3 linked regions of the Mytilus edulis genome follow. The protein of the gene in region 2 purifies or fractionates together with the protein of the main gene of each other region. This does not show direct contact. Links are inferred from orthologs where the notes say so. Each region holds a gene or a part of one and is shown on either strand. Other genes may lie near its edges. The genes, in order: succinate--CoA ligase [GDP-forming] subunit beta, mitochondrial-like; iron-sulfur cluster co-chaperone protein HscB-like; succinate dehydrogenase [ubiquinone] iron-sulfur subunit, mitochondrial-like.

The links.
Region 1: the proteins of iron-sulfur cluster co-chaperone protein HscB-like (region 2) and succinate--CoA ligase [GDP-forming] subunit beta, mitochondrial-like purify together in Homo sapiens (affinity purification with mass spectrometry; 3 studies listed by BioGRID and IntAct, with this or other methods). This does not show direct contact. The link is inferred for Mytilus edulis from reciprocal best matches to the Homo sapiens genes HSCB and SUCLG2.
Region 3: the proteins of iron-sulfur cluster co-chaperone protein HscB-like (region 2) and succinate dehydrogenase [ubiquinone] iron-sulfur subunit, mitochondrial-like purify together in Homo sapiens (co-immunoprecipitation; 3 studies listed by BioGRID and IntAct, with this or other methods). This does not show direct contact. The link is inferred for Mytilus edulis from reciprocal best matches to the Homo sapiens genes HSCB and SDHB.

The regions. Positions count from the first base shown.
Region 1 is NC_092344.1:74,495,357-74,506,519, forward strand, and holds the start of succinate--CoA ligase [GDP-forming] subunit beta, mitochondrial-like, read left to right. Parts: upstream 1-6,926; 5' UTR 6,927-6,974; coding exon 6,975-7,043; intron 7,044-11,163. Other genes in the region: cyclin-D-binding Myb-like transcription factor 1, read right to left, coding at 2,238-2,314, 2,699-2,846, 3,373-3,425, 3,918-4,031, 4,441-4,783. UniProt on the Homo sapiens protein: GTP-specific succinyl-CoA synthetase functions in the citric acid cycle (TCA), coupling the hydrolysis of succinyl-CoA to the synthesis of GTP and thus represents the only step of substrate-level phosphorylation in the TCA.
Region 2 is NC_092347.1:98,517,209-98,528,725, forward strand, and holds iron-sulfur cluster co-chaperone protein HscB-like, read left to right. Parts: upstream 1-6,244; 5' UTR 6,245-6,267; coding exon 6,268-6,702; intron 6,703-7,922; coding exon 7,923-8,297; 3' UTR 8,298-9,248; downstream 9,249-11,517. Other genes in the region: U6 snRNA-associated Sm-like protein LSm6, read right to left, coding at 2,932-2,966, 3,413-3,526, 4,913-5,003.
Region 3 is NC_092356.1:48,308,915-48,320,146, reverse strand, and holds the start of succinate dehydrogenase [ubiquinone] iron-sulfur subunit, mitochondrial-like, read right to left. Parts: upstream 5,057-11,232; 5' UTR 4,941-5,056; coding exon 4,878-4,940; intron 982-4,877; coding exon 910-981; intron 1-909. Other genes in the region: uncharacterized protein DDB_G0284459-like, read left to right, coding at 10,491-11,232. UniProt on the Homo sapiens protein: Iron-sulfur protein (IP) subunit of the succinate dehydrogenase complex (mitochondrial respiratory chain complex II), responsible for transferring electrons from succinate to ubiquinone (coenzyme Q).

The sequences.
Region 1 (11,163 bases), on a different chromosome or scaffold from region 2:
AATAAATCCCGAAATTAATTTGAAACTTTGATACTCAAAAGTTTCCCAGCAAAATATTCACATCCCATTGGGATAATTAGTGTTCGTCCAGTGGCATATATAACAATTGTGATGACGAATTCCTTCCTTTGTTTGAGAACAATCTTATTGAAATATAAATCTGTGATTTTCCTAGGTCCACAGCTTCAATGAACCAAAGCAAACGTTATACATCGACCTGTATTTAAATCAAATTGGTTCTCTTCTTCTTTTGGTATACAACTGTAGTCTATCGACATTCGATGATTACATACTGTTGGCATACGTTGGCTAGTCTATTTACAACACTTTTACCCCTATTTATTCAAAATATATGTTTTTTTCTTATGTTCAATGTATACACGTATATATTTTAAATTGCGCTATAGTTCCGTAACTTTATATCCAGTCGTATAAACGAATCGTCGGCAAGTGCGTACATTTTTTTAAATCAATATTTCTGGTCTGTTCCAATCTGTCCTTCACTATTGACAATGACTATATATTACATTTTCCCAAATTCACCCTTGGAAAAAATATTTAAATAGATTTTAGTTTCATCAAATCTTATTTTTTGGGTATTATTTATATATTATGAATTATATTCTTTACACCAGAAATGTTATTTATAAACAAGCGTATGAGTTTAGTAATGACAAGTAAGACAGAGTTGTATATTATACATCTGATAGTTCAAAATGGAAAGTTATAAGTTATAAGTTATCAGCCGTGTACACTGATCAATACCTGCAGAAGTGAAACGATGCATGAACTTGCAAGCCCGACAGGAAATCGCTTGAATACCTGGACGTGTCACCTCACACCCCTCACAATACCTTTGGAAGTAATACCTTTAGCCATGTTGGTGATCAGATAAGGGAAGATCAAAATATATTTGAAAAAAGTTTATTACTTTAAAGAATTATGAACAAATTAGATTTTCGAAAACAATTTTCACGGAACACTTATTTATGATTTCAACTTTGACTTTTCACCTAATTCCAATATCAACAGTTTAAAAACAACAGACCATGGTAATTTAAAAAAAGTAAGAATATTTTCCGTATCAAGTTAGTTAGTCGTATTAAACAACCGTACGATTGACAAGATATCGACACGCAATTACGACTACATCGGTTACTGTAGTTTTGTTTCTTTGTGGTTTATAGACATATCGTTTTTATTCATCGGGAAAGAAGACAAGATGGCGGATCTCGGAGAATTGATACTCTAAATTTAAAATCGATGGTGATCGCTTATCTAGCGGAATAAAACTTTAATATCTATGAATTTGAACATTTTTATACAGAATGAACATAATATCAATTTTTGATTTTTTTGCGAAGTTTCCCTTTAAGAACAGGTAGACAAGTATTTATGACATCATATGAAAGTTACAATTTTAAAAGTGTTATTGTGAAAATTCATAGAATTTGGTTGATTAATTTTTGGTTTTCGGACAGAGCTCAACAAAGAAATACAGTGTTACATACATTTTAGAAAGCCTTGCAGTGAGTTACAACATTTGAAATAAAATGTGTGTCAGTAAAACAAATGTTGTCTAATATATCAAGAAAATAATCCAGAACTTCAAACTTTGAAATCCAGCTATTATCTATTCTAATGCAATTATTTTGTATCAATGGTTCTGATTGGATGACAGTTAGCGTAAAATTCTCTATCTCCTTGTCTGTAACTAAGGTAGCCGACATTTTGAATTGCTGAATGTATTGACATGTAATTTCTACAATAAAAAGCCAAAAAACTAACATGTCGCACCTACAAATCTTCTTTTTATAAAATTTCATTACATTCTGAAGCGGCAAAGAAGCCAGAAACTCCTGGTGTTTATGTTTGACGCTGGAAGCATACCTATGACGTCACCTAATGTAGGGACCAAAGAAGATAACATCTTTTCGTGGAATTTTCTTTAATGAAGATTTTACACTGAAATAATTATTGGAATTTAATTATGAACTTGTTTTGCATTAGAATAGAGATAACTGTATTGTATTTGAAGCTTTTCGGACGTCCATCGGTAGTTTTACTGTGGCAAATACCTGTTTACCTGTCTCTACTACGTGTTGCCATGTAAACTAAATTTGCGACAGTAAAACTACCGATGGACGTCCTTAAAGCTTCAAATACAATACAGTTATCTCTAAATTCATCCCCAATAAAGGTCAAAGTTTAACTACATAGTATTTATAAATATTTACTGCACAATAACTGTTAATATTCTGCTGTAATACAGCAACTTCTTCCTTTGTCCACTGTCCTTGTTTCCATGTTGCACCTTTAAAGACATATTAAAAAAAATCAATAAAATCAAAGTGCACCTTATTCAGTAAAACTATGATTTTTGCTTTTAAAAGTGTGTTTTGATAAGAGTTTCAATCTGTTATATATTGCATTTCCAATAGTCAGAAATACTCAAGATCATCTCAAAGGGAAGCTGTTTCAAGATCACCTCAAACTTAAATTTAGACTATTTTTCAAATAACATCTTTTTTGTCCCAAATTGTTAAAAGATAATATAATTATTGATACTTCATAAACCATTTAGACTGTATCCTTATGTCAAATATCTTTTTTTGTGTTTTATCATTATTGAATTGTTATTTCAATGAAGTTCTCCCTCAAATCTTATTTTATTCATATGCTTCATTAATGTGTATACCCTTGCTATGAAGAGCATCCTTTTCATCTCTAGTTGTGAACCAAGCCTGAGAAATATCTGAGCTTTCTAAAGCTTTTCTGTTCCCAGAACCTGACTGTTTAGGGCCTCCAGCATCTCCTGCACTCAATAAGACTGATCCATTGGTTGCCTTAAACATAAAAGAGTATCTATTGAAATAAATAAAAAAAAATTTTTTAGTAGAAAACACATGGTTCTGCATACATGTACATGGAGTAAATGGATTCCGGAAAATAAAACAAACTTATTTTTAAAAAATTATATTGAAATACTGTGAATCAGATACACGATAAAATTATGATACTTATCTTATGATTAATTTAACTTATCTAATTCAATCATTTACAGACAAAAAGGTTATTTCAAATCTCAAATTATTGCAAGTTCATTTATTATAGTTTAGTGAACTGTTCCTTGCATAATAAAACAAAAATGGTTCACAGGACATTTTCACTATGAACAACCCTCTTTACTCTTTCTGAAGTTTGTTAAAAAGTCAAAGAAAAGTTGAGAACTTGAAAATTTGGTATTTTTTTTTTTTTTTTTAACTTGCATCGAAATCTGGGGGAAAAGAAAGACTGTTCTCCTTCTCTCCCATGTTAAATTTGTATGCCTATCAAATTATTTTTTTCCACCTTATACATCATTAAATTTACCTGAACTGTTTCCACTTTTTCTACAATGGTTTCATCAGTTGTCAAAGTATCCTCTGTAACAGAAATGAAATGTCTTAAATGCTATATATATATGGTACTTCTTTTAAATGTCTGTTTTTGGTTATTTTGCGTTGTTTTGATGCTGTCTTATAGAATTCGAAGGTACATATGTTGTAAAACACAAATGTAAGAAAGATAGTAGAAAAAATGTATGACTGTCTGTATAAAATCTGCACTTGTATAGTTATTTGTTATGATTTTAACATAACACTGAGAAAAGTTGACTCAGATTTATAAAAAAAACAAACTATATCTATATTTAGCTATTTTTAATGTTTTGTAAATATTTTAAACATTCTAATATTTACATACTAAATTATTTATTACGTGTGTTAAAATAACATTGTTAATGATTGTTCGGCACTCTATAATTTTATTTTTGTAATTGAATTAGTCTCTGTACTGATTAATCCACACTCTCATAGTGTTGTATGTCATGTGTTGCTATTTTTAGGCACTTTTTGGCTATTCATATATACATCTACCTGGAGCCACAGATAGCACATAAGACTGGCCATCACCACCTTCAATACGAAATCTTTTGGCTGCAGGTTCATCTCCATTTTGAGTATTTTCAATAGAATCCATTCCAAGGGATGCTAAAATTATATAAGAACCATATAATGTTTTAAACAAAACTTAAGCAATGATATTATAGGGGGACTCCTCTAATCTGACTGTATACTAAGATGTGTGGGTGGAACAGATTATTTTTTTTATTAAATGTAAAACAAAACAATGAATTGCAATTTTGTGTGCCTGACTCCATGCTTTATTGACTAGGATTGTCAGTTTTCCTACCAAAGATCAGTATTTTTTCACCAGGTATTTACAAATTAAGAATCTGAGACATCTTAGTTTTAAATCTCAGATTCTCAAGATTTTAATGCAATGTACATATTTATGATTTTTTTATTTTAAAATACCAGTCTCACATCTGTCTGTACCCAAAATCATATTTTGAGACCGTGCCTACCACCCTGACCCCTCAGTGTAATTTTCACTTACCAGCAGCTTCTTTTGACAGAATAAGGAACCCAGCTGTTGAAGATGGATCCATGTCAACAATGTTCTCTATGTCCTTCCATTCCTCAACAGCTACATCTGTTTGTTCTAAATCTGCTTCCCCATCTGGTACCTCTATCTTCAAAAGATGAGTCTTGTGAATTGTCTCCCCTTCATCACCATTGTCAATGGCCTCTCCTTGTAAATTTGCATTGATTGTAACATCTTCTATAGACGTTGTAGACTGTGTTAGGTCATGTTGTTCATTATATTGTATTTCTGATGTTCCGTTTGTACATATTTCTTGTACAACTGGTTCTGAAGTTTCCTGATTTGCTGTCTCCATAAAAAACACCTGCAATATAAAGATTCATTAATTATCTATAATGCCATATCTTAAATATATTTTTTATCTTGGATTTTCAAATTCAGTGTATATATATATAGAAATCAATTATGAAAATCAATGGAAATTTGAATTTGGTAAAGATTTGTGTTTTCATTCATTTTTTAAGATAATGAAATTAATACATTTATAATCTCCTGCTTCTCCATAATACATTGTACATCTATTTTGGTTAGAATTCAAAAAGATCCTTACATGGTGTCTTTCCGTAACTGAGAGTATATGTGACAGTAAACAGTGTCACTTATTAACAAATAGCTGGTGCTTTCCACAGGTTAAAATATCCTAGTGTAAATCATCCTCCCGAATTTTACCCTTATTGATTTACTAGCAATTCTAGAAAGACAAATACAAAATGTATAATAGAGCATGTTGAAGGTAATCTATAAAAATGGAGGACATGCATTTTTCATTTGGAGAAAATTACATGTATTAATAATTATACTAGTCTAGTGTTTTCCACTCAAGTTTAAAAATAACTCTACTATTTTTACTATCATGGATAAAATGCACTAGCATTTTTTTTTAGTTAACATGGTTAAGGAATAAGGATACAATACAGTAGTATTTTTAGGTATGATATAATATGTTAGATTTCTTTTAAAATAAAGTATTTTGTACCATAAGAATATAAAACCAAAGTTGTTAAGGTTGTTACAATTTTCAAGCCAAAAAACCCATCTACATTTGTACATATAGGAGTAAAATGTCAATAGGACATTTCCTCCTCCTCTATCATGTCTATGTTGCTTTAAATTGTGGAATGTATGAAAAATATATGATAAATATAATCAAATTAATTATTATTCAAATATATCAATTTCATAAAGATTGTTGCAATTATCTGCCATAGTAGGTTTTCTTTTTCATTTGTTTAATATGTTGTCATAAAATTGAGAAAGGAAATGGTGAATATGTCAAAGCGACAACCACCCGACCATAGAGCAAACAACAGCCAAAGGCAACCAATGGGTCTTCAATGTAGCGAGAATCATGTCTGGATCTATTTTAATATGTTCTACACAGTACAAATTTGGCTTTGTTGACGGCAGGTTTGGTTGTTTACAAAACTTAAGGACAAAAGGGATGATTTCAGCTTCCCAATTGTGAACTTTCAATTTCTATGTACATGTAGCAACATTCCAGCAGTGCCTGCATACGAAATATATACAGACAGATGTGTGGATCTGCTAATTACCCATCCAGAGCACATGAGATCAACTCCAGTTTTTTGTGACGATCATGTTGTTCAGTCTTTAGTACTATGTTGTGTTCTGTGAACTAATTGTTTGTCAGTCTTTTTTTTCTTTTTTAGCCATGCGTTGACAATACACCCTATATCGCTATTCCCAGCTGCTTGAACTTCTGACCTCATACAACAATCACTTGTCCATTGTGGTGTCAGACATTTTGTTTTATGACTTCAAAATTTTACGGGGACCTGTTTGATATCCGTTAATGGGGGACAAAAAGCGATATTAAGGTGTATTTATTTTTTGTGACTTACAAAATGACTTATGAGTTTAAATGGCGCTTCGGTATCTTTCGCCTCTCTCTTTTATTACAATGGCGCTTTTAAATATTACAGATAATTATTATTTATACATGTTAACAAATGTTCCAATTAATAATTTAAACAATGCAGTTGAGTTTATAAAAATTTATGATTGAAAGTGATTTTATGCACTCATAAACAGATTTGTTTTGATTTTATAATTTTGTCAACATATTGATATTGATTTATTTAGATTTTGTAAGCCACGGAATCATTTCATTTATCAGAACTTGAAAATGTAAAAGCACACAATATTACAGCTGATAAACACGTGGTTTTGACATTTTACAATGTTTTCGTACGGGTGATCAAAGAAGAGCCAGGATGAAAATCTTGTAAGTCCCAGGATGAACAGAAGAAAGTATTGCGGATGAATTTAGACTTATTGTTAAGCGATAATAAATAAGATATAGTATCATCAATTCAAAAACTTACTAATTTTAATGAGCAGAATTTGTATGTTTTTTCATTTTTTTGACGGCAATAACAATCGTGTTGCTGATAATCATAGGACTATTTTGTTTGTACAAAAGAAGTTCGAAGTATCGCGAGAGTTTGAGTTTCTTTTCGAGAAAAATGGCTGCGCCCATGAAAATGATAAGAACGTCAGTTAGACACGGTTTATTGCAAAGACTGTGGAATAAAGTAAATGTCAATGAGATCTGATTTATTTTCCAACACAATATATATATATTTGATTATATCAGGTGCCTGATTGCTTATGTTCTTCAACAAAATTACACTTTATAGCATCTATCAACATTACCAAGTTTTGACTTTCAAGCCGATAAGGTGACCAGTCACTATAATAATGTAAACATACACATGGAAAAGGTTTAAACTAGAACATTCTGGTCAGCATTGTTTTCTGAATTAATCTCGCAATGTCCTTGATATATACCTCCCCTAATTCGTGTAATTGGCTACAAGCCGATAAGGTGACCAGTCACTATAAAAATGTGAATCCGGGTCCGTCCGCCCTGATTCTGGTTCGCCCTAGTTTCTGTTCGCCCTAATACCTGTTTGCCCCGAGTCCATTCGCCCTGATTTTATTTTTTAGTATAGTGTTGCGTTGTGTGTATATAATTGAATGTGTTGAAGTCAGTCTACAATTTCGCCGAATATTTACGATGTATCATATTAACTTGTCTAAAGCTAGCTGCTATACTAAGTTATAAGTTTCAGTACATTTCAGGACTACAAGATATTGTGACTTCAAGGTATTGAGGACTAAGTTTGTATCTGTATGTAATTACGTTACTAGGAAATATAAGTTTCTGTGAATTTCAGCACTACATTGTATTTTTAAATGTAAAACAACTGAAGACAAAGTTGTTGTCTTGCTGCTACGAGGATAAGTTTCTGTGAATTCAAAGACTACAAAGTATTTGACATAAAACACTAAAGACTAACATGACTAAGTTATTCATATATTTAACTTTCTTGATACATTTTAACAATTTAAAAATATTCAGTAACAGTTATAACAAGATCAATTCCGAACTGTACTTCACACACATTTATTTCCTAAACGAATATTTAAAAGCACTAAATAGAATTACTATTAGTGAAACAAATACCAAAAACGCAGTCACACTGCTGTACATGATCACTTGTCATCAGTGTTTTTACCCATCCTTTTTTTTAATTTTTTTATAGACAATTCATATAACAATCAGTGATATCAAAGGTATCAAATGACACCTAATCAGCAATCAAAATTCAATCAACAGTAATTAAAAGTAATTATAAAATAAAGTGTAACAATGCAGCCAAGAATGTTATTTAATTAATATAAATTTGGCAAATATTCTGTATTTAACTTTTAATAGATATACATAAATTTTAATATATATATATATTGTTCATTGATGTAACATATATAGATATTTATATCATAATATAGGGCAAACGAACCCAGGGCGAACAGACTATCAGGGCAAACAAACTCAGTTCGAACAAACCTAGGGCGAACATGTAATCAGGGCGAACGATCCCGATACCTAAAAATGTAAACATACACAGTGTTCTAGGATTTTTTTGGCACCTTGACTTACCACGGGTAAGATCAATAAAAAAATTACTTACCCACATCTAAAAGTTTAATCCGCCAACCAATGCGGACGGCGCAAAGCTCGCCGCCCTTATGGCCGGGGGTCTGGGGGCCGCTCAAAAAACTTTTATGACATGCTTTAAATTATATGTTGTGAAGTTTGTCTGAACAAAGCTGGATTCGGATACGATTGAATTTTGTACAAAATTTAAAAAAAAACGATTTCTTACTAAATTTGACAAATATGTTATAGTTATTACTATGTCATTTATTAAGAGTTATAATAAATGCAACTGTAAGTTTATTTTCCTCCGATGACAAGAAAAAAAATCGTTTATGTCCCGATTTTAGCACCAGTTATCAATCCGGATTTTCCGATTTTACCGACACCGTGACCGACTTTTAGAATGATAGGTGAAGAATGTGGTCTCTTTTGCGCTTGATTACACCTAGTAAACGAGTGCTTGAATAAAAGCGCCGATAGACATCGACAAAATCTTCGATCTTTTATCAAAGTTTTTTCTCGTGATTTAATAAAAATAAAAAGCAGATATGGGAAAATTGAAGAGGACCGGGAAATTTCAAGAGTTTTTCGGCTTCCCCGAACTTGAAAATTGACTTACCACCGGGTGACAAAGGCTAAAAAATGACTTACCCGTTGTCCTAATCCACTTACCCCGGGTAACGGGTAATGGGAATCCTAGAACACTGATACACAGTGCTCTAGCTAGAAATCAAAAGGGGCAGGGTGCCAGTGGAGGGCAGGGCACTTTTTATGATAAGAAAAGGCACTGCTCATTTTTTTGTCTAAGTTTCTGTGTGTATCACGAGTTAACGAATCTCTTTGTTTTTTTTATTGTATATGTTGTTTTTTTTAAATAAAGATGCTTTTCAACTATAGTCTTTATTTCATTGTTTGTGTAGTTATGATTGATATGGTACATCTTCATCAACATATTATGTTTTTACAGTTCAACTTCACTCTACCAATTATCAAAGAATATGTGTTTTTTTTTGTTTTTTTGTTGTTTTTTTTTATCTATATAGGAATTATAGCTTTGAAAACATCATATGAACTGAAACAGAGAGCATTACTAATTTAACAATGTTTAGAACATGGATTGCTAAAAGTATAATTATCAAGTAGAAATTGCAATATATATTTTTTAATATGTTCAAAGACAGTTAATATCTTTAAGATAACATGATTATGCTATTATAAATTATTATTCAATTGGTAATTTATTCCCTTTTTTGGTACTAGATAATATTTTTAGAGCACAAATTTGTAATAAGCTAAAACAGGGGAAGTAACTCCGAAATCAATTTCCACCACGTTTGGGTTAATTAAAAACTGTGCTTGTCGCTAACAAGTTAAGATGGAAGGCATTTCTGTAAAGGCATAGTTTTATTTTGATGACTTAAATTCAATTCTAAAGTCATGAAAGTCTTCATTTATATACACTCTTCCATTGTGACTTGGAGATCGAAAATGCCGACCCAAGCTAAACACACTCGCTGACACATTCATCAAAAGTATGACAAAAAGATACATTGTCCTAATTAAATTACCTAGTTATTAACACCTTTGAAGTCTTTATCATTGTAATTGATTGTAATAAAATGATTAACCTGGGGGCAATCACACAGGTGTCATATATGTAATTAACTTGGAGATCAGAAATCGATGAAACAAAATTTTACCAAAACGGCACAAGATAATTTTGGAAAAAGACGTCAGGGCAGAAGGGCGCGGATGAAGGCACCCAGGGTGCAGCTGAGGGCACCCAGGGCGCGGCGCCCTTCTATTTTGGGCTAGCGAGACCACTGATACACATGGAAAAGGTTTAAACTAGAACATTCTGGTCAGCATTGTTTCCTGAATTAACCGTTATCTTGCACTGTCCTTGATATATACCTCCCCTAATTCGTTTAATTGGCTAATATTTTTGCTATCCCTTGGCTTAGATATGTACATCAGGGCTAGTAAAATACTGAGCTGCTTATAAGTCCTGGGCTAGTAAGCCATGCATTAGCTGTAACAAAAAATTTTAACCCTGGAAATTTACTTTCGTTTTAATTCATTGCTAAGTGGTTTGTTAAATCCTGAGAAGTACGAAAATAATTATGACGATATGGCTAACGCTAATTTGATAAAGACAGAAAATATTGAAATGTTTTCATCACCACATGTACCTTAAGCAACGGAAACTTTCAATCAAGAGGGACCCTTTCAGTACCCTATTTTTAGAACAAAACAACATTTCTGATTTTCAATTTAACAAAAATAGATTGTTGCGACAACTATGTAATAGATGCGCAGATAAGGGTAAATAACGCTACACAACACATTCATTGCTATGGACATTGTATATATATATATATAGACAATCAGCTGCAGTGATTCAATATTAAAGTGTAAACAGGAGTTATTCAAGAGGCAGTTGCACTATCAAAATTCTATTAGCTCAGTCTAGAAGTGATAATATTATTACACTAATGATTAAATTAATCATTTTAAATCTAATTACACTAATGATAAACTTAATTGTTTTAAATTGAATTTTTGATGTATCATATCTCCTCTACTGATCAGCTGAAAGTTTTTTTTGTCTTTTAGCTCATAGACTATTTTGTCATGTGACTGTGAAATCATCAATGTTTTTTCATGATTTACTCCTAAAGTATAGAATTTTATAGAAATAAATTATA
Region 2 (11,517 bases):
ATGAAATTCTTTAAAGTGGATTTATTGAATTTTTCATTTAACATATGTTTAAAAAAATAATACAATCTCAGATTTCTCAAGACATTGGTTATTATCAAACTGACAAGGGACACAACTTCAAAATTGTATTTAAATTGATGCTAGAGGAAACATCTTATACACTTTTGGGGTTTTCCTTTTCATATTACATGCATAAGTCAACAAATGTGTTTGTCAAAGTTTAACCATAAGTAACATTTTAACAAAAATTGTCAAATACATGTACAACATTCCACAAAATCCATTTAAGACAATTTTGACCTCTTTTTAAAAGAGTTGTGGTATTACTGCCAATGAAACTACAGAGACAAAAGATTGTCGGTTTATATTCCATGAAATATTTCATATCATGGTCTTTTCAATCATCTTAGTGTCAAATGTACCTGATCAAGGATTTAGAAACATGAAAATCATGTTACAGATATTTCTTTTGTTTATTGGTGTATTTAAACAGGAAAATTTTAAAGACTGATGAAAAGTGAAGTCTGATCTGCAATATATGATTCTGATGTTGCTTGTCAAACATGTCAAAAGGAGATTTGTGGTCAAAATAACATGAAGAGATGTTGTATGATTGCCAATTGGACAACTATCCAACAGAGTCCAAATTAAACCGATTAAAGCAATTATATGTCCAGGGAACAGCCTTCAAAAGTAAACATAAGTCGTCTTGGTTGTGTGGAACATATGGAATGTGAACTAGTAAACTTGACAAAGGTTTTATGGATGATTTGGAATAATATCTTATAATTTGTTTGAAATATGCATAATACGCATGTTTGTTACACACATGCTATACGCATCATTTAAAACGCATATTATACACATGTTTCTTACAACACATGTTTAACGCATGATTTTGAAACATGCGTTTTACATCACATATATTTTTCATGTGTAAAACGCACGAATAAGGCATGTTTTAAACATGCGTTTTACATAACATGTATTTTTCATGCGTAAAACGCATGAATAATGCACGTTTAAAACATGCGTTTTACATAACATGTATTTTTCATGCGTAAAACGCATGAATAACGCATGTTTAAAACATGCGTTTTACATGCGTGGTAGGAAAAAGACGTTTCCCATGCGTTACCAAACATATGTTTTACATATGTAAAACATGTGTAAAACATGCGTGGCACTTTTCCCTGTGTATAACAGAAACTGAGAAATGGACCAACAACAAAAAATCCATTGAAACTTGAAAATGAGGTCAAGGTCAGACGAAATGGCCGTTGCACATGTACTACTGGTATTACAATTATTATGCCAAATAAAGTTGACCTACTGCTTACAGTATCTAAGATAAGTACTTGACCATGAAAACAGATCACATATTCATGAAATGAGGTCAAGGTCAAGTTAACCCCGTCTGAAAAACATGCAGACCTTGCAAGGTACACATGATATAATATAGTTACCCTATTAACAAGTGACACCTTATGTTGCTCAGTCACAGGTAACACAACACATATAACAAATCAGGCACAAACGCATATAACAAATCAGGCACAAACGCATATAACAAATCATTTCTTAATACAGAGGCCGAGTAATATGTGAGGAAAAACTATTGCCCAATCATAGGTATAATGAAGATTGAAAGTATCATCCATTGGGAAGCAACTACCAGGTAAATCTGTCAATCACTTATATGGTACAGCTTAACATTATAAAGTTTTATCACTTAAATGGTACAGTTTAACATTATAAAGTTTGGATATAGTACAGTAGATAAATACTGTCATATTATGTAAAATTCTATGCTCAGTGAAGGTGGCTCTAGCACTCACAAACATCTTTAATCATGCTACCTTCTTTATGTACCGGTCCTAAATCTGTATATCATATTTTTCTTCAATTGAATTGCTATAAATTGGGTTGTTAGAACGTTTTCTTGTTTGAATAGTATATCCTATTTTATGTTGGGACAATTTACACCTAATTACCCCTGTATACAGTATGAGTTTTTTCACATTGTTAAAGGCTATATAGTAACCTATAATTCTTTCATCTTCATCATTAGGAAAATCTACCAGGCATAATTGAAAATCATTGAAATATAAATGGAGGTGTACCTGCTTGCATAATACTGTTATAAAGGGACATAACTCAAGAACAGTAAAAGTAGAAGCAAACTAAAGTTAGAGAACTGAAATCAATTTTGTAACAGCCTTCAACAGACAGATATACAGACTGACACCGGTAAAACTTAATCCTATCTCTGCCACGGCGGAAGCAGCATTTAAACAAACAGAAGATACCAAGAGAAAACTCACAATGCAGTGGCGGATCCAGAACTTTTCCTAAGGGGGGGCCCGCTCCAGTCATGCTTCAATGATTCCCTACATAATCAACCAAATTTTTCCCACGAAAAGGGGGGGGGGGGGGGGGTGGGCCCCTCAGGGCCCCCCTGGATCCGCCTATGCAATGTCATGCCAACTTCCAAACCACCACAATAAGATGTATAAAAACATAACTATTCTTTATATAGAATTGACTAAACATCAGATCTTCCATTATACAGAAGCTGTGTACCTGCTGAATGTTATTGATTGACAAGTTGAATGCAGTATACCATCAACACTAAGAAACATGACAAACAAGAATATACTTCATGTTCATATTTTATTGTGTTCTTTTTATGTTTTATAAGAAGATATTGACACATACTTTATGCATGAAGCTCAGATCCTTCTAATGAAATTTGTTAAATGAAATGAATATAATAAATATGCTTATAGATTTACAGATCATGATGAAAGAATCATAAATGATGATTTAAAAACGATGATGTACTACTGACAAACAAACTTAGGTATGTCATAACAATGTTATTATATACAAATAATGGGCCAATTTACACCAAAACCATTCACAGGGTGGTCATATCCTTCTCTTCTGTGTACTGATGTATAATACTGAAAAAAGAAAGAACTGAATAAATGACATGTAATAAGATGGTCTTAGATCCTTATATCTATGGTAGTTGGTCTCTGGTGGATAGTTTTCTCATTAGCAATAATATCTCATTTATGTTTTAAAGTACTAAATGTGTTGCCCTTTTCTATGAAGCTACGTATTTTGTTGGTCGCATCAACAAATTGTTTCACCTATGAAACAATGAAATGCAATAATAACTGTAGGTAGATATTTCATATTAATATAAGTTTATACAGGTTTAATGTGTGACAATGTTCTGACAACTACTGATCTGAAGATCAAACTTTTAAATTTTTTTTTTTTTTTTGTGGTTCCCCATAAACTGACATAATTTCAAACTAACACATAGTTTACATTCCTACCACCAGAAACAGCATAACTGCCTCTTGCTTTTTGACTCAGTTAAGGCAAGACAAAAACCTACCATTATTTCCCCTAATGAAGGCATCTCCATATTTGTTTTTCAGCTGTCCATTCACATATTCTTCTGTTTGTTCCAAAGCAATGTTCATATATCCATCCAAGCAAGCTAAGACACCTAGTAATTTAAAAAAAATCAGAATTATACCTTTACAAATAGTGAACTTCTATTAATTTCTAGCTTTCAAAATTATCTTATAGTATTAAATTCACTGTATATATGTTGTATAGCACAAATTCAATTTAATTAATTAATTATTTTTGTCTAAATAAATTTTAAATGCGCAAAATAATCAACTTATTGATGGTGGCCGCGTATTGGTAGAAGTAGAAGTATTCAGAATAAAAAGTTCATAAAAATATTCAATAAATTCAGGGTTACTGAAAACAAGAATTTTTGTTCATAGCTACTAATATTTACAAATTAAAAAGATTGGGATGTGGATTCCTCTATAAGATTGTTGTGTCAATAGTTTGCTCAGTGTCTCATTCATACATTGGAGTGTACTCTCATTTCCTTAAATTCATATACTGTACTTAAAAGGGTTCTTAAAAATAAACATCAATATACATATACATACTAACTAGATATCATTGAGATGGGAGCCATCTCTGTGGGCCCCGCTGTGAATAATATGCATTAAAAAATTGTATATTTACCATAGGACATGGGTTTGTCAACTGAAATCAAAGTTTTTGACCTTGACCTTTGACCTAGGAAGTTGTAAATAAATTATGACACACCCTTTGGTGTTGGTTTATAAACATGTCAAGTATAAACTTTGAAATGATAACGGTTCTCAAGATATAGAGCGGACAGGATCTTTACCATAGGACATGGGTTTGTCAACTGAAATCAAAGTTTTTGACCTTGACCTTTGACCTAGGAAGTTGTAAATAAATTATGACACACCCTTTGGTGTTGGTTTATAAACATGTCAAGTAAAAACTTTGAAATGATAATGGTTCTCAAGATATAGAGCGGACAGGATCTTTACCATAGGACATGGGGTTGTCAACTGAAACCAAAGTTTTTGACCTTGAACTTTGCCCTAGGCAGTCGTTCATAAATTATGACACACCCTCTGGTGTTGGTTCATATACATGTCAAGTATAAACTTTGAAATCATAACGGTTCTCAAGATACAGAGCGGACACGATCTTCACCACAGGACACAGGGTTGTCAATTGAAACCATTTTTTTTTTACCTTGACCTTTGACCTAGGAAGTTGTACATACATCATGACACGCCCTCTGGTGGTGGTTAATAAACATGTAAAGTATTAAGTATGAAATCATAACGGTTCTCTAGATATGGAGCCGACACAAAGTGTTATGGACGGACGGACAGACTGATCACTATAGGGTGACCCGCCTTTGGCTGGGCCCTAATAAATAAAACATTCAGTTTAGTATCAGTATTGTCTACAATAGGTGACTCAAAAACTATGAAAATAAAAAGCGGAAAATAATGAAGTCCTATTTGTCTTTAAATTGTCATACCTCTGTAATCCACACCTGAATTCAGCTTAACTACAACAGGTCTGCCTATGATTTGTTTCAAAAACTCACTGGGAGTCTGTTTTCTACTCATACCTAAAAATAGACAACTTAATTTTAATTCAAACTATAAATAGAATATTGCTACACATGTTTGTATACATATATTAATTGTGCCATGGGGTATTCAAGATCTATAAATTTATCACAATTGTAGTTTTAAAACATTTAGCATACATTTATTAAATTAAAAATATTATTAGATTTTAATTCCCAAAACATTTTGTGCAGTATAGAATAAAACTTTTCACCTGTTCATGCAACATGTGTTTGAGGCTACAATGATAGATTCAACTAACTACCTTATCTCCGAACTGGCATATTGTTGAGAAAATACCAAAGAAGAGAAATATTAACCGACAAGACCTAAGGTTAATGAGTTCAAGTACAAACTTATCGCCTGTTAATATAAGACATATAATGCATATTAAAACAAGAATATGTCCCATCCGCACTATCATTTTCTATGTTCAGTGGACCTTGAAAATGGGAAAAATCTCTAATTTGGCATTAAAATTAGAAAGATCATATCATGGGGAACATGTTTATTAAGTTTCAGTTTGATTGGACTTCAACTTCATAAAAAAACTACCTCGACCAAAAACTTTAACCTGATCCGGGACAATCGGACTAATGGATTAAAGGACAAATGGACAGACGAGCGGACGCACAGACCAGAAAACACATATAATGCCCATAAATGGGCCAAAAAGTCAGATAATTTAGATTGAATTTGAAACTTCGGCCCAAACAACTGTCGCTGAAATTGGAAATGTAGCCGAAACGACCTCAATTGAGAATAAAGGTGTGTACACGGGAACCTGTGTGATTTTAGTAATTGGCAGTCAAATTTGCATACAAGTGTAAATACGTCTATATGAATATTCAAACAAAGCCAAAGGGATTGGACTTCGAAACAACCTGTACCGAAATTGTAATATGGCCGAACTATTCTGTGGACGAAATGGTAGTGGCCGAAACGACCTGTGGTTGTTGACGAAATGGGACGAAAATTGGTAGTGACCGAAACGACCTGTGGTTGTGGACGAAATGGTAGTGTGGCCGAAACATCTCTAGAAATATTCTTTTCATACAGTTTTCAAACATATTTGTGAGTTGAAGGTAAAACAGGTGTTAAGCCAAAGCTGAACTTTAGATATCATATCGATACCATTACATACTTATAAACTATAGACTGCAAACACTTGTCTTGCCGCTTGAAGAAATGAAAACATATTCTCACGATATCTGCTCTATCAAATGCATTAAGACACGTGATATTTCTCGCGTTAATCAAGATGTCTGCGCCCATGAAGTTATTAAAATCCTTTCAAAATTTGATATCTACCAATATAAGACAAATTAATACATTTTCAAGTAAAGAAATATGTTACATTCATTTTATAGCAAATCAAAGAACTAGACAATACCACAGTTTTTATTGTCATACGCCAAGTTTACACCAGGGTACCTTTTATGTCAAAACCTCCTTACGAAATCGAAGGAATTATAGTCTACAACATAGAGAATGTTGGCGTTGTGGAAAACCAACAAATACCAAGGAAGACATATTTTTCTGCAAGTGTGGGGTTGTTCAATCAGTCAACTCATTGTCTTATTTCGAAATAATGAGCTTAGGTGATAGTTTTGATGTTGACACAGCAGTCTTGTCACAAAAGTACAAAGAATTACAAAAGTTGCTGCATCCAGACAAGCACACATTAAAATCAGAGGTAAATAGTTCATGTTTGGCTGTTTGACACCTGACGGTAAAGGGCATTTCTTTCCTCATATATGTCAATCTATTTTTTTTTAAATAAGTTCCCGCATTTATATGGCCGTTTACATGGTTAAGGGCAGGTATTATGGTATACTGTTATCCGTCCATCCTTCCTCAACATTTTGGTCATTAATTGAAAAATGCTTGTACCAATTTGCATAATACTTTGGTGAATTGTTCACTGGCGGATCCAGAAATTTCCGTAAGTGGGGGCCCGCTCCAGTCACGCTTCAGTGATTCCCTAGTATATAAGCTACCAAATTTTTTTCCAAAAAGGGCCCCCCCCAAAAAAATCTGCCTCTGTTGTATATATCTAATAAGTAACTTCCCTTTAGATGTTTAGTTTTTCACAAATTTTTGATATAAGGGTAGTAATGCCCTTTTACGTCAGGAGTCAAACAGCCATTTTCAGCTGTCGTTAGTGTCAAATTGGTTAAAATTTTACCGTGATTTGTCAAAATCAGTCGATGTTTTTATAGTCTAAAAGAAGGTGTACATTTTATCGCCATACACCAAAAATTACTGTTAACACCATTTGGCAAGAACTTTTACCGTTCTTTGTCATGAAGGTACCCCCTATACAACCCTCTGATAAGACATGAAGAATTTATTGAAATTCATTGTTTTAAAATGCAACAGGCGTATCATGCACTCAAGGCTCAGCTGTTTATTTGTTAGTTGTTATATGTTGTCCACTCCTATACACGACACATAAACAGCCAAACAAAAGTTAGGACCAATAGCCTAGCGCCCAGGCCCCATCGAAAATCACAGAAAGGTAACACTGTGCCGCTGAAAACTCTTTTTTTAAGAGGCTAGGTGGTCTAGTCGTCTAACGCATCTGTCTCAGTGCAATGCGATTTGGCGTCATGATATCTCCCGGCAAGGGAAGAACAAAAGCAAATTTACCAATCTAAAATTGTTGGGCTAATGTTTAGACAAATTATTTATACATATATATGGTATTCTATATTTTTTGATTCCTTAAGACAATATTCATTGTTGCTTTTAGTTTTCAATTTTTGTGTTTTAATTTTCTATTGGGTTGTTGTTCCTGGCCTGAAATTGACATTTGCCCCCATATCTTCCTTCAATTATTTGTGTATATTGTTAACGATTTGTATGTGTGTTTCTCAATCTGTTAACAATTTTATTATACTAAATTCATTCCAGGAAGAAAAAATCCTTTTTGAAGAGCAGTCATCCCTAGTAAATAAAGCTTACAGTACTTTGGTTAAACCTTTGAATCGTGCATTATACATGCTTGAACAAACTGGACACCCAATAGAGGAACAGAATAGTAATGTTGATCAAGAATTCTTAATGGAAATCATGGAAATCAATGAAGACATTGCTGATGCTGATTCTCCAGAGTCACTCAAACCTATAGAAATAATAAACAAGAAAAGACTGGATGATAACATAAGTCAAGTATCTAAAGCCTTTCAGGAAGGGGACATAACTGCAGCTAAACAGCTTGTCATAAAACTCAAATATTTCACAAATATTGATGACAAAATCAAAGAAATTTACAGAGGCCAGTTCTGATTTTTTGTGACCTACAAATACCTGTTGCAAAAGCAACTGAATGTTTATAGGATCTGATATTGCCTAGAATTGTAGCTTCTACAATGTTGGTCTACCTGGATGATTGGTGGGAAAAAAATGATATATTCTTGAAAAAGAGGATAATTTTTTATGGCATTTACTTTGCAACACAGATTATCTTTATACCAGAGGCATTTGGGACAGGAACCCACTGTTATTTTAATCAGATTGGAACCCCTGTTTATTTTTATCTGTGATACGTTTATTCTCGATGAAATTAATTATTTAGCTTAGTTTTTTTTTCTATTGTCTACAAAGTTTGTGATTAAGATAATTGGTAAACTAGAATACAGTCCCACCTATTTGAATTTCAACATTACATTTTTCTGTCAAAATAATGCAAGGGCTAGACACAATTATGTCTGTGTCAACATTTAATGAATTCATTTCCGAGTGGTCTTAATCTTATTTTTTAACTATATATAAAGTTTGAAGTTAATTTGTTTCTATGAGTTTTCATTTTATTTCAATGTATATACGTGTATATATCAAACTACCTGAGAAAATAACAGAAATCTATCTTTAACTCATTTTTGTCTGTCTACTTCAAATCTAAAAAAACATTCAAAAATAAATATAGGTTTCATATCAAGTGAGAATTTGATATTTATTACTTGATATTAACGATCATTAACCCCAGTTATTTTTTTATGTAATGAAACTGATACAAAGAAAGGTTGTGATACACTAGTAAAAGTATTACCAAATTAATATGCAGAATTGTTATAGCCAGTGTGAAGTTAAATAATGCTGATTTATTTTGTGTATATGTGTATGAAGTGGAATATAAATATGTGTGCTGGAAGAGAGTGATGTAAATGTGTGAACAGCTGGTTACATGTCTTTATTAGACACCTTATGAGTATTAATAAAAACTATATTTGTAGACTTTGAATTTTTAGAACTGTCAATTTCCATCTGGAGTTATTATGATTAATGAAGTGGGTGTGGTAAGTGTAGTTGAGACATCTCTAAAAGAAACCAAAGGATGTAGAAGTTAATACTGTAAATTCAGAAATTATGGGATGCATTTATTATTGCGATTTTTCACAAATGGACAACGTTGCATGTTTAATTATTGCGATAACAAAAAAATTTGCATGAAGATCTATGTTTCTGTTATCAAAATTCAAGGTCTTATTATTGCAACACTCACCCAGTCGTATTAATCACATTAATAAAAAACCTCACAATATTTTTTTTATTTTTTACAGTAACTGTAGATCTATCATCAATGTAAGGCCTTTAAAAATGAGCAAAACTATATTACATTGTAAGCTATAAAAAGCAACAAAATTACAAATGAAAACCAATTCAATGAGAAAACTAAGGATCTGATTTATGTATATAAACAAATCTTGATATATAGCAACAACTGATTTGGTACAGCACATACAGAATGTGGTGGGGTACATATTGGCTGGTGCCAAACCTTCCCCTAACCTGAGACAGTGATGTATCAGTACAACACAAGAACATTGTCTTAAACCAGGTGCTCCACAGGGCGCAGCTTTATACGACCCCAGTGGTCGAACCCTGAACAGTTGGGGCAAATTTGGTCACAATATTCAAGCTTGATACCGTCTGAATTTTGATTGTGATCAAATTTTTGACATAATATAGGTTTTTGCCACAAAATTAATGTGGTTCAAGATCTAACACATCTATTGCACAATACTGTGCAATTGAATATTTCTTATTGAAACTTTTCAAAATTTGAAATTTATAAAATGTTGAAAAAAAAAAAATCCCTTACAATAAATGGTAAACTGAGATCCCCCCCCAATTTATTGAAACCCCCCTTGGAGCAATAACCCTTAAACTCAATCCCATGCTTTCCTTTGTAATATTGAACCTTGTATTACGATTTCAGAGATCCATACACTTAAACACAAGTTATTGTCATGATTGTTTGGAAACTAGAAACATGCTTCTTTTTGGCCCTTAATTCCTACATATTTTGGGCAATTAACCCAAAACTTAATCCCAGCCTCCCCTTTGTTATATGGTACATTGTGGTACAATTTCAGAGCGATCCATGCAATTACACACAAGGTATTGTCTGGAAACTAGAAAAATGCTTATTTTGGCCCTTAATTCTTAAACTTTGGCCCCATAACCCCTTAAATGAATCCAAACCTTCTACTTGTGATTTTAAACATTGCAGTATACTTTCAGAGCAATTGAAATACTGGTAAACAATGGTAAACAAGTTATTATCCTGAAACTAGAAAAATGCTTGTTTTGGCCCCTTTTGGGCCCCTTATTCCTAAACGGTTTGGACCATCATCCCAAAAATAAATCCCAACCTTCCTTTTGTGGTATTGAACCTTCTGTAAAAATTTCATTAAGATCTAATCACTTAAACTAAAGTTATTATCCGGAAACCAAAGTGTCTTCGGACGACGATGACATCATACCATTATACGAACCCAAAATTGTTTTGGGGTCGTATAAAAATAATGATATAATCATGATGATAGATAGATTAAAGAGATATAAACAGCAAGACTGATCACAAAAAAGGCTCTATAAATGCATACATGACTGAAATCTTAAATTGACTCATTGGAGTTATAGCCCCTAATGTGATGATTAGGACATTTTATTTTGTGTTTTGACTGCCAAAAAAGTGTCAGAATGAGAGATATGGATTATAATCTGGTGATGGCCAGTTAACTATCTGTTAAAATCTTTATATTTCAGAAGAAAGAAGACCTAGATGCTTCTTAACTTGTATGCAGATGACTTGTATTACAAAGTTTCCATCTGTCATTTGTCCTTGACCTCATTTTCATAATTCAGTGAAAAGGGGAAAGGTTTGCTGTATGAAATACTTTAGTAATAGTATGGAATCCTTTCAATGTCTACATGTTTGATTGACAGCTTTCACCTGACCTTGACCTTATTTCATCATTGATCAGTGATCAAAGTTATCATGGTAAAGTCCTTATCTCAGCTACTATAAGTAATAGGTAAACTATATTTGGTGTACATGTCAGACTGGCAGGTTCCATCTGACCTTGATCTCATTTCATGGTTCAATGGTCAATTTATTAAGTTTTTGTTGTTTGGTCTATTTTTCAAATACTATAACATGTAATAGGTGTGTTGTATTTGATTTAATAAATGATTGTAAGGTGTCACTATCTGTTTTAGC
Region 3 (11,232 bases), on a different chromosome or scaffold from region 2:
AAAGAGACCAAACTTCTTAAGAGATGACGTTCAAAAATTTATTGGAATAAATTAGGATGATCATGAATATGTTGCAATACACATAATATTTAAACATGCCTTCCATACTCTAAAGAATCTTTACATATATATATACATGTATTAAAATTGCTTATTCTTATAGTGCAGCACACATCATTTTCCAATTTCACACTTTCATGAAAAATTAAATCTGACTCTTCTGTTCTTCAGGTATATACAGTGTATAACGTGACGGTACCCAAATTGCACCTATTTTGACAGTTTTTTCAACTACGTTTTTTTATGATCGACAAAAATTTCCATTTTGTGTTTATTTTGTAGCCGTATCCTTCTTTATTATATAGGTACACCATTCATATGGAATCATAGAAAAATTGGTCTGAACTAACCTCTAAACCATCAATGATTCTGCAATGAGGAGTACCCAAATTGCATCCATGCTTAAATTCGCATTGTCAAAAGACGAATAACAAAGCTTTTGTTTATTTTTTTCAAATATTTTGAACAATTGGATATTTGTCGTTGCTTACTCTTCTTTTTTTTAAGAAATGGATACTTGTAACATATTGTATTTGCTAATCTTAAAAAGATGACGTTTTGATGACATCATGGCGACGTTTCGGTACATTTTGCTTTTTCAGTAAACACTTCATCTGTTGATAAATACTGTGAATTTTTTTGTGTATATCTAAATATTTTTACATATTTTGAAAGACATGCACAGTATCAAATCATAAAAACACAAATTGTTTAGTCTCTAGGAGATCTTGTAAGATTTCCGCTGCTATTTTTGCTAAATAGGTGCAATTTGGGTACCGTTACGTTATGTAGATAAGTAATTTAGAGATATTTAAAGTAATAGTTGTGCATATGGCTGTTCCAACTTACAAATCTGTAGATTGAGAATTTCTTCATTCTTGGGGCAACCTCTGTGGCTGCTGCTGTCTGTGCACATCTTGTCTGTAAGACAAAAGAAATATTCATCATATACAATGTATAGTTTATCTATGTCATGTATGTCAGCAACCTTAATTTGTTGCCAGATGAAATAAAATAATCACAATTTGCAACACAAAGCCCAGCACGGTCCCTGATAATCAGCTATATAAGGCTGAATAATGACAAATGTAAAACAATTCAAACAAAAAAATGTATTGCCCAATTTAAGTACAAAATAATGAACAAAAAACAAATATGCAACACAGCAACAAATGACAACCACTGAATGATAGGCTCCTGACTTGGGACAGACACATACATAATTTTCAGGTTTAACATGTTAGCAGGCCCCTAAACATCTATCCCCTAATCGGAACAGAGAGAACATGGGAGGCCCAAGAGAAAACGAAAACGGGATCGATCGGGATCCCAATGCAATCCCGGTGAAATTGTCGGGATAAGCCAGGATAAGCATCCGGAGGCGGGATCCCATTCGGGATAAATATCTGAAACTGGGATCCCATTCGGGATAACTGTCTGAAGCCGGGATTCCAGTCTAGATGAAACGGGATAAATATCGGACACTGGGATCCCAATCGGAACTGTTTAAAGCCGGGATCCCAATCGGGAAAACTATCTGATGCTGGGATCCCAGTCTAGTTAAAACGGGAAATTGTCTGAACCATAATTAATTTATGCTGTTGAAAATATGCAAGTGTTTTGTTTGTGTATACATATGTCTCTAATAACATCAAGTATAGGTTATTGGTGTTAATTAACAATGTGTATGACACCAAAGCTGTCAGGTGAAGCCAATCACATTTAAGTGTCACTTAATATTCAGTTTGACAGATATTTATAAGTCAGAAAAATGCCGAGATTTTCGCGATAAAAATGATACTGGAGGGCGTCCGAGGAAATGTCAACGGGTGTTTTGCCAGACGAGCTTGGGCATTTCTAATGTTCCTCAAGTTCTCATAAGTGCATTTCTATTAGTTGTCGTCCGGCATCAATGATAAGATAATGACTGACGTCGTAAAACGTTGGTTTCTCAACTTATGTAAAATGTTAAAAAAAAAATGATGACCACGTGCTTTGTTTTCAATTGTACCAGTTCGACCCAAGAAAATACTGTCCTAAATAATGCGGCCACTATCTTATCCGCATGCACCAGGTGCCGATTACTAAAGTATTCTTTTCTTATATTTAGTCAAAACTGGCCAGTAATTAATTCTTTTATGCGATACCCTTAATTTATTTATAATACCGTTACGGAGACAGATCAACTTGGCCGATATAATTTGGGGCGAGATTGTCACGTCGACGTTTGTGTACTGGTAAAAACGTCATCAAAATTTGTTTACGCTGAATTATGGACAGGACGAAGATGATGTTTTCAGATAAGTGCATTAATAATTTAATTTAACATGTGTATATGTGCATATAATGATTATGAAAATAATTTATTGAGGAACTATGATTTGTATGGTTTTTATCTGAGCAAATCAACATCAGAAAGTCTGAAAGCATAAACTGAAAATATATTTATTTTTAACATATACAATGAATAAACTTGTTAACTTGTCACATAACAGGCATAAAAAGTAGGTATGTCAAAATTTAATTCAGTTGTGTGTATGTTTATTTGGTGAAAATAATAAGTCGCTAGTTATTTATCGTCAGGGGATAAAAAAGGGGGAAGGTAATTAATTTGCAAAAAAATTAAAATAACCTTCAAAGACTTCATAATTATTTGGACTTGCTTCCAATCTACTGTATTCTATAAACATTAACATGCAATAATATTTCTATTGAATTTGTTGCTTCAAAACGTATTGAACAAATGATTCTTTGTGGATTTTTTTTATACTTTTAGGGGATATACTGATCTTTTTAAATGGAGCTGCCAACGAAACAGATTGCATGCAGATATTCCAGTTACCATAATTTACTCAGCAATTCTAGTTGGAAGTACAGAGACAGCAATTTAATTAACAGAAAGAAACATGACATGTATCCTTTTGCATAAATAACCCAGAAATCCCAGTGGCAGTGCAATTTGAATTGGTGCATGTATATCCTGCTGGTATTTATTTTTGGGATCCCGCTTTTTTTTCCGGGAATCCCAGTATATTTCCACTGGGATTTACATCGGGATCCCGCTTCTTTTACAGGAATCCTGAAATTTTATCCCAGTACATTTACATCGGGATCCCGCTTATTTAGTGGGAATCCCGAAATTTTATCCCAGTGGGATCCCAATTGAATTCCCACAATATCCCAGTGGGATCCCAGTATATTTCAACCGGGATTTACATCGGAATTACCGGACTTTTGGCGGGATTCCCGAAATTTTATCCCGGTGGAATAAGGTGGGATCCCACTTGGAATCCCATCAAAATTCCAGCCGGGATTCCAGTGGAATTCCAGATTTATTTTCTCTTGGGGGGGTACATGTTCATGTACTTGTACATCCCAACAACAAAATAACAATAAGTACAGATCTGAGAATACTCCAAATTTCAGACAGCTTGTTCATAGACAATAACAACTAATAAATAAAACAGGCATCCAGAGATGCAACTGATCGTCGGACCCGTCGGACCTAAGGGGCAGAATTTATGCAGGTACGGCAAAACTCGTAGCTGTGCAGGACCTGATGGCCGGCAATATTTAAGTCCGCCAAAACTGAAATCCCCGTCGGCCCCGGCAGAGTATTTTGTTTATAAAATTGCGATCATCTTTAATAAAAGTAAATGTCCTGTTCCCCCGCATTTTCTAACTCCGGGAACCAGTATTTCCGCCCAGTAATAGTCTTTCGTACCTTGTCCATCTCGCCCCGAACAATTCTCCGTATTTCCGTCATGTTTTTTGTTTTAGAAATTCGCTCTCTAGGAAGGAGGTCTATTAAGCATAGTTGATAAGTTCAGGAAATATGTCATGGCCGATAAAATAATATCAACAAAATCAAAATTAACGTTTGTTCAATAGCATAATTTCATTTGATTTTTGAGTGAAAATATGGGTCTGGCAGAAATTTGATGGGTCTGGCAAAACTTGGTACCCTGTAGGCCCCATTGTCTGACAGGAAAAAAAAACTGTTTGCATCTCTGGGCATCTGTGACTAAATTATCAATCAGTACAAGATCTCCATGTAATGGATTTAGTGTAAAGATGTCATTAAAAGTCAGAGAAAAACATGACCTTATGCAAGTTTCTCACAAGAAAAAACTGTACATCTATTTCCAACATGTGTCAATAAGTCATATCATCTTACATCTGTAATATTCTTAACACAATATCATATGATTATACGATAAAAAATTACAAATGAATATAACATGCATGTAAATGTATGTACTGCTGATAACTGGAAGACAAAATTATACTGGACTTGCTGATAACTGGAAGACAAAATAAAACTCTGATACCAATAAATTATATACTGATCAGTAATGGTAACAATATAACTGTGTCTGTGATACAAGTATAATTTGTGATCGCAAGGTTAATGTTATCTCTTTCTTTCAGGTACTCTGGGTAACCAATAATAACACAATGAAAACTAAATTAAACTAAAGACTAAATTAAGAATCATTAAACTTGTTTGCATTACATAAACAGTGATATCATGAAAATGCCAAAATTACATAAACAAGAATTTATATTTTAAAACAGTTCATGATTAGCTCTTCAGGTTGAACCTTAATAAAAAATTATATATGATGACATATTACAAATACATAATTTGTATATTCTTCGATTTGACATTAATAGTAAATTAATGTTATGAAACCTACAAATTATGTCAATGTCAATGAACAGTTTTCTACTTTTTTTCTGCCTGTCCTCTCCTTTTGTGAGCTATTTCTGTTAGTCCAAATGAACGAGTCAATATCAAAAGTCATGAATAATACCTGAATTAATTGCAATAAGGCTCTTTTTACTGGAGCTATCTTGACCACTGTCGAACTAGCCATTTCTGTTTTGCAGATCTACATGTAGTTTATGTAATTCCGTTCAAGCGCACTTGTCGTTTCCTGTAACCTTGAACTTTTGGTGAAAGTTATCACTGAGACAATTCTCCTGAAAATCATAAAAAATACAACAAAATACCACAAAACATTATAAAGACAACAACGTACCAAATAAAAGTTTTTTATAAGGTAAGACAGTGTTAATGTTTTTAATTAAATAGCATAAGTATCAATACAAGATTCGAAAGCATGATTATTTTTGGGGAAATTACAGACCAGAAAGCAAATTCAGTTTTAAAGTTCATAGCGTTCTTATCATATATATATATTTATTTGGTATTTTGCATTATCTAAATTTGTATCTGAGAATTTACAATCCTTTAAGAGATTATTACCTTGCTTTGTTTACAGATGGCGACTGTTGCTCATCGGTTAACAAAATTCAAATATCTTTCCTGTTTAATATGTTGAATGTAAGAATCGACTGTAGTGTTATAAAAAAAGGGGACCAAGTTTGATATTAGTTTAAAGCGTTCTTAAGTCGACTAGGTATTTTTGACGTAGGCGAATTTTGCTGTGGATCTCTGACTCTGTTGCAGGCACAGACTTGTTGTACAGTTGACGTTGTATACTTACTGCACTTGTATAAATGTATTGTTTATATAATTTTTAATTCTAAATGTCATTATTATATAAAATATTTTAAACAGATTAAGAAAAATTGATTTGAACACAAGGTCAACTACTTTATATATTGCATACATGTAGCTATAGTAGTACACTGATTTATAACTTAAAAAAAATGGAAAGTGGGTCTCATTGGGGTCTAAGCGTGACGCGGGATTGCTGATTTTTTGTAAGCGTGACACTTGAAAGTCAAATTATTGTGTTGGGAAAACGGGAAATGAGGTCTAGCGGACCTGGGAAATGACAAAAAAATGAGAATTGCTTACGTACATAGTGTAAGCGGGATACAGGAATCTGACAAAACAGTAAGCGGGATCCGGGATCGGAATCCCCCAATGAGACCCCCTGGAAACTGCCCATCCCTAGATTTTCCATGCAGTTCAACTTTTTCCATGATAAAATGATGGAAAATGATGGAAATTTTGTTTTTTTCCATGAGTTTCCATGGAATTTCATGGAAAAATAATTCATGTCAGATGGAAAACTTATATGTGTTACTTATTCCATCATTTTCCATGATAAGATGGAAAACTTTCCATGGAATTCCATGGAAAAAATACTTTTTGGATGGAAAATGGGATGGAAAGTAGACTAATAAAAATTTGTAGATGGAAAAGAAGATGGAAAGTGGACTTCGAATATTTTTGAGATGGAAAAGAGGATGGAATCTTGACTTAGAATATTTTTAACATGGAAACATTATAAAATCTTAACTTAGAATATTTTTGAGATGGAAAGTCATGGAAAAAATGTACACAAATTACATACATTAATTCTTTATCATCAATTAGACAGTGAAAGAAATGTAAAGTGCCATCTGGTTTTCATTGGTCTTTGTGTAGAAGACAGGAAATGTTATGACCATACAGTGTGAGGCCAAATGTAGGGTAGAACATGGATTTATACATTTTTGTGCAATTATTATTACTTAAAACATAAAAATGGTAAATAAACAATAAATGGACAATCTTTTATTAAAATATATATAAAATATCCAAGATTTTGGTAAATAACAGTATTCAATTGTGACTCTTTTAAAAGAAATCAGATAACTCCTCATACACCCCCCAACACATTGAAAATTTGAACTTGCAATGGATATGCAGGCAACAAATAAAGATGTCTTCTCTCCTGAACAAAATGCAAAATTTAAATTATATTGGACTTAGATTAAATAGTTCCAAATAGTTCTTGACATCGAATAGTGCAGATTTATTCTCTGATGACTTGCATTGACTGTTGGATTTAGAGCATATTTTTTGGTAAGTACACTGAATTAGATTCTACCATTTTAAGTGTGTGCAAGCTCCTTTAGTTCAACATAAAAACATCATGAAAACACCTATAGTAGATTTTTCACTTATAATTATAATGATTGGGTATTAAGACAAGACAAACTGTATATGGTGTATTATAATAACTAATAATCCACTAATGAAGTAATTTGGTTATAAAATTTAAGATCCGTTGAAATTGGTTGCCAATGAGAAATAGATCCATAAAAGTAAAAAAAAGTGTATCTTTACAGCAAACTGCAGATCAACACTAAGTTCTAAATAGATGGAAAATACCAATGAAGACATTTATATACAATAATTATGGAAAAAAATATTTAGGACAAAGACTAAAGTTGTTAACCATTATTAATAATGCCATTATTTAAAGAATATCTCTTTATTTATAACAGTAAAATTATTTTTAGGTATCATGAGGAAGAAATGAAACTCCAATAAAATGGTTAATGCTGTTCTACAAGATGGATCTACTGAAGCCTGGTGCTGACATAAGTGACATTTATAACCTTAATTTCTTGATATAAAGGCAGTGCAAACATATACCAGTATTGAAAGTTTTTCTTGTTTGTTGTATTTATTATAATACATTAAATAAGTTTGAATTAAAGGTTAAAATGATGTTTGAGTCTATTGCTTATTACTGACCATTGTAAGACTCAAAAGACCTTACCAAACCGAAAAAAGCATGGCACCTAGTTTTTTTTATCTTCATTATTACAGATATTGTTAAACAGGGTATATTGTCAAAAGGTTAATTTGAGCAATTCATTTCAAAAGGAAATGATGGAAATATTTCCATGGAATTCCATGGAAAAAGAAATTCTATGTAATATATTTCCATGGAATTCCATGGAAAAACTTCATGGAAAATATTTTCCATGGAATTCCATGGAAAATGTTTCAGATGGAAATATTATTAATTCCTTTTTTCTCTTTTTATTTTCCATGGATTTCCATGGAAAACAGGTTCCAATACTCCATGGAATTCCATGGAAAAATATTCCATGGAATTCCATGCAGTTTTCCATGATAGATGATGGAAAATCTAGGGATGGGCGGTTACAAAATTTGATTCACTGATTCAAGTGATGTTATATCCCAAAACTATCATTCATTTGTTTGAATAATGCTTTCATTGATTAATAAGATAACTTTTTGTTTACTAATTATAAAACCCTTTCTTGATTCTGAGTATGGAGCGATTTTCGAGCGCGTCATTTTACCACAGAACACTCAAAATGTACCACAGAACTTCAAAATTTTAATACTTCAGGCATTATTATCCAGTTAATGTATTGACTATTCTTTTTGTAATTTGACATATATTATTCAAATAAATTATATTTTTTAGAAACAAAACTCACTATATCACAAAGCCCCCTACTGAATGGCTAATCTATATTTGTAATTGGGACCATAATTTATTTAGTTTGTCAGGTTTTTTTGCCCCTTTTTTATTAATTTTATGTTAAGATAAGTAAAATTAATATTCAAATACTTTCAAAAAAAATTCTGAAGTTGTTAACGGACAGTATTAAATATTTGAGTTCACTAATAACATATAATAAGTGTGTATTTTAATTGTCAAAAAGTTCAAGTTTGATGACTGTTTCAAGTGTCTTATCACATGATCACTGAACATTAGGTTGTATATATGTGTATCTTCTTCAATTATTTGACAATATTTCGGATTTTTACCAAATTTTGTATGCATTTAGAAATGTTGAACTGGAACTTTATAGTGAAAAAAAACTGGTATACATACATGTGACATTTACATATATATACATGTGGTAATCAATTGTATCTGATTTTATGCCCTTTATGGGCCCTGTAATTTGGGAAATAAAAATATTCTATTCTATTCTATTCTGTAGTTTCTATATTTTTTAGTCCAAAATTAATGTTGACCTTAGCAAGTTCACCTGCACAATTAAAGTACCATAATTTAATTAGATTAACCAATTTTGACACTCTCTGTAATCACCAATCAAGCCAATAAACATGTCATTTATATTTTCACACCTGAGACACCAAATACATTTATTTGAATTATCTTATTCAATCAGGTGGCAATTAAAAAATAGAATGATGATAGCAGTCTTCCTGTTCTAATTATCATGATTATCATAAGTATTGTCAAATAACATGAATAATTCTAAAAATACAATTTTTATAATAAATAAGATCCAAGATTAAAACATCATATTTAATAATCTCGCAGATTTCTTAATATCACTAAAATATATTGTAAAACAAAATAGATAATAACACTTTTAATTGATCAGTTAAATATATTCAATAAACCGTGCAATAATTTTTTTTGCTATTGAAAAACATTTTTTTTAAATGTTTATTTTAGATTTCAAATGTAAAAAAATATGCCAAATAACAAAAATGTTATGATAATGTTTATCTTATCCTGCCAATCGTCATACAGTCTGCACCGTTAGTCACTAGTCCGATGCCCAAGACTAGTAAAAATTGATTCAGACTAGTGAATATTTTCAAAATTTGTATGGTCATATTGGGACAAATTTGGAAATTTTGTGTCTGGACTAGTAGATGAAATTTTTTTTTGGCGCAGGCTGGTCATGTGATTAGTGTAACCTGAGTTAAAGAAATTATGATTCGGTATTATCAGATATGCATTTCATAAAGTAATTTTGATGTCCTGTAACTTCTGTGGTATATTTCAGTAGTTTTATTGTAATTTGTGTAGTTCTGTGGTATATTCTGAGTATACTGTGGTATTCTGTGGTAAAAAGACGCCCCCAGCGATTTTCTGATTTGACCACCTCAAATTGCCTTATCACTTACATATTAAGTCTATCCAGGAAAACTTTTGTTCATACATGTACCTGACTTTTAACCTGTGCTGTTTACACTTTAATCACCATTCATACTCTGAAAGCTTGTTAACATATTGAAATTTCAGGTCTGTCAAATTTTACCCAGTTTTATGCTTTACTCTGGCATAAATAGTAAAACTACTTTTCAAATTAATGTTTTATTTTCCAAACACATGTACATCTATGGTCACAATAAATCAAGAGAACAAATCAAACTAATAAACAATTTAAATACAGACTGCAATTTGCACATACATATGATAACATAATAACTAGCTACGGAGAGTAACTCTCTTAAAAGTATGCTAACTTAACCATACATCTTGACCATACCAAACTGATATTTAACATGAGTTCGGTGCTAAATTTTATTTTACACTCTCCAAAAGTGAAATTTTACTCTTACATTATACTATGATCATGATGATCTACCATATCTAATCGTCCATACGTCTCAAAATTAGTTTACATTATCTGATATTAGTTTATGTTCCTTTATATGTACACATTTTAATCATGGACATTATTTGTGTCCAAGGGACACACTAGTACTCCATTAATAACTTTTTAGCACTGATTTAGTATAGATAAGACTGGAATGAAATATTTAATGATACTTCCTTTTTCTATACTCTTTTTATTTTTTGTAAAGAAAAAGAAAGATGTGTAATTTTTCTCTTTTATTTTTTTACAGGATAAAATGAAGATTTTGTTGTAAAATGGCAACACATTTCATCTGTCAAGCAACAGAACCTCTCCCACACAGATTTCCTACAACAAGGGCCTCTGAGAAAGGTCATGGGGCTGTTTCACAGTATGAGCTATTAAATCTTAGTGACAAGGCACACTGTCGTTTCCCTCCACCGGGATGGGATACATCGGAGAGCTCAGAAGATTCCTTACCCCTATACAGAGTTCCTGCCCCATCATGGAAAACAGCTGCCAATTTGGTTGGACCAGATCCAGATCTTTGTATAACTCCTGAAAAATCATCAGCAGGGAAATTTAACAATCTACAAGGAAGACAGTTTAATGCCCCTGTGCCAACCAAAATAAACAGGAACACTTTAATTGACCCTGATTTGGACTTAACCTTGACCCCAGAAAAAGCCTTAGAACCCAATGATAAAGAACATAAAAGTAATTTAAGAAATGGGGTTTGTGAAGATGGAAAGTTCAAGGGTCAACACAGGGTAAGATTTGAATTGGATGACTCTAGAGGATCAAGTGAGGGTGGGGATGAGGAGTCTTCGTTTCTGTTTTCAAGATGTCGACCAGGAAAGCCATACAAACCAGCATCGTATAGTGATGATAATGCTAAGGATCTCATTGATTCCTCGTCTAAAAGTGAAAACAAATCTAAAAATAAGCCAACTCAATATACAGTAAATAAGGTGAATAATAAAACTGTTTATGTTCCTCTGCATGGCAGTGACCAATCAAAGGAAATGAAATTAGCTG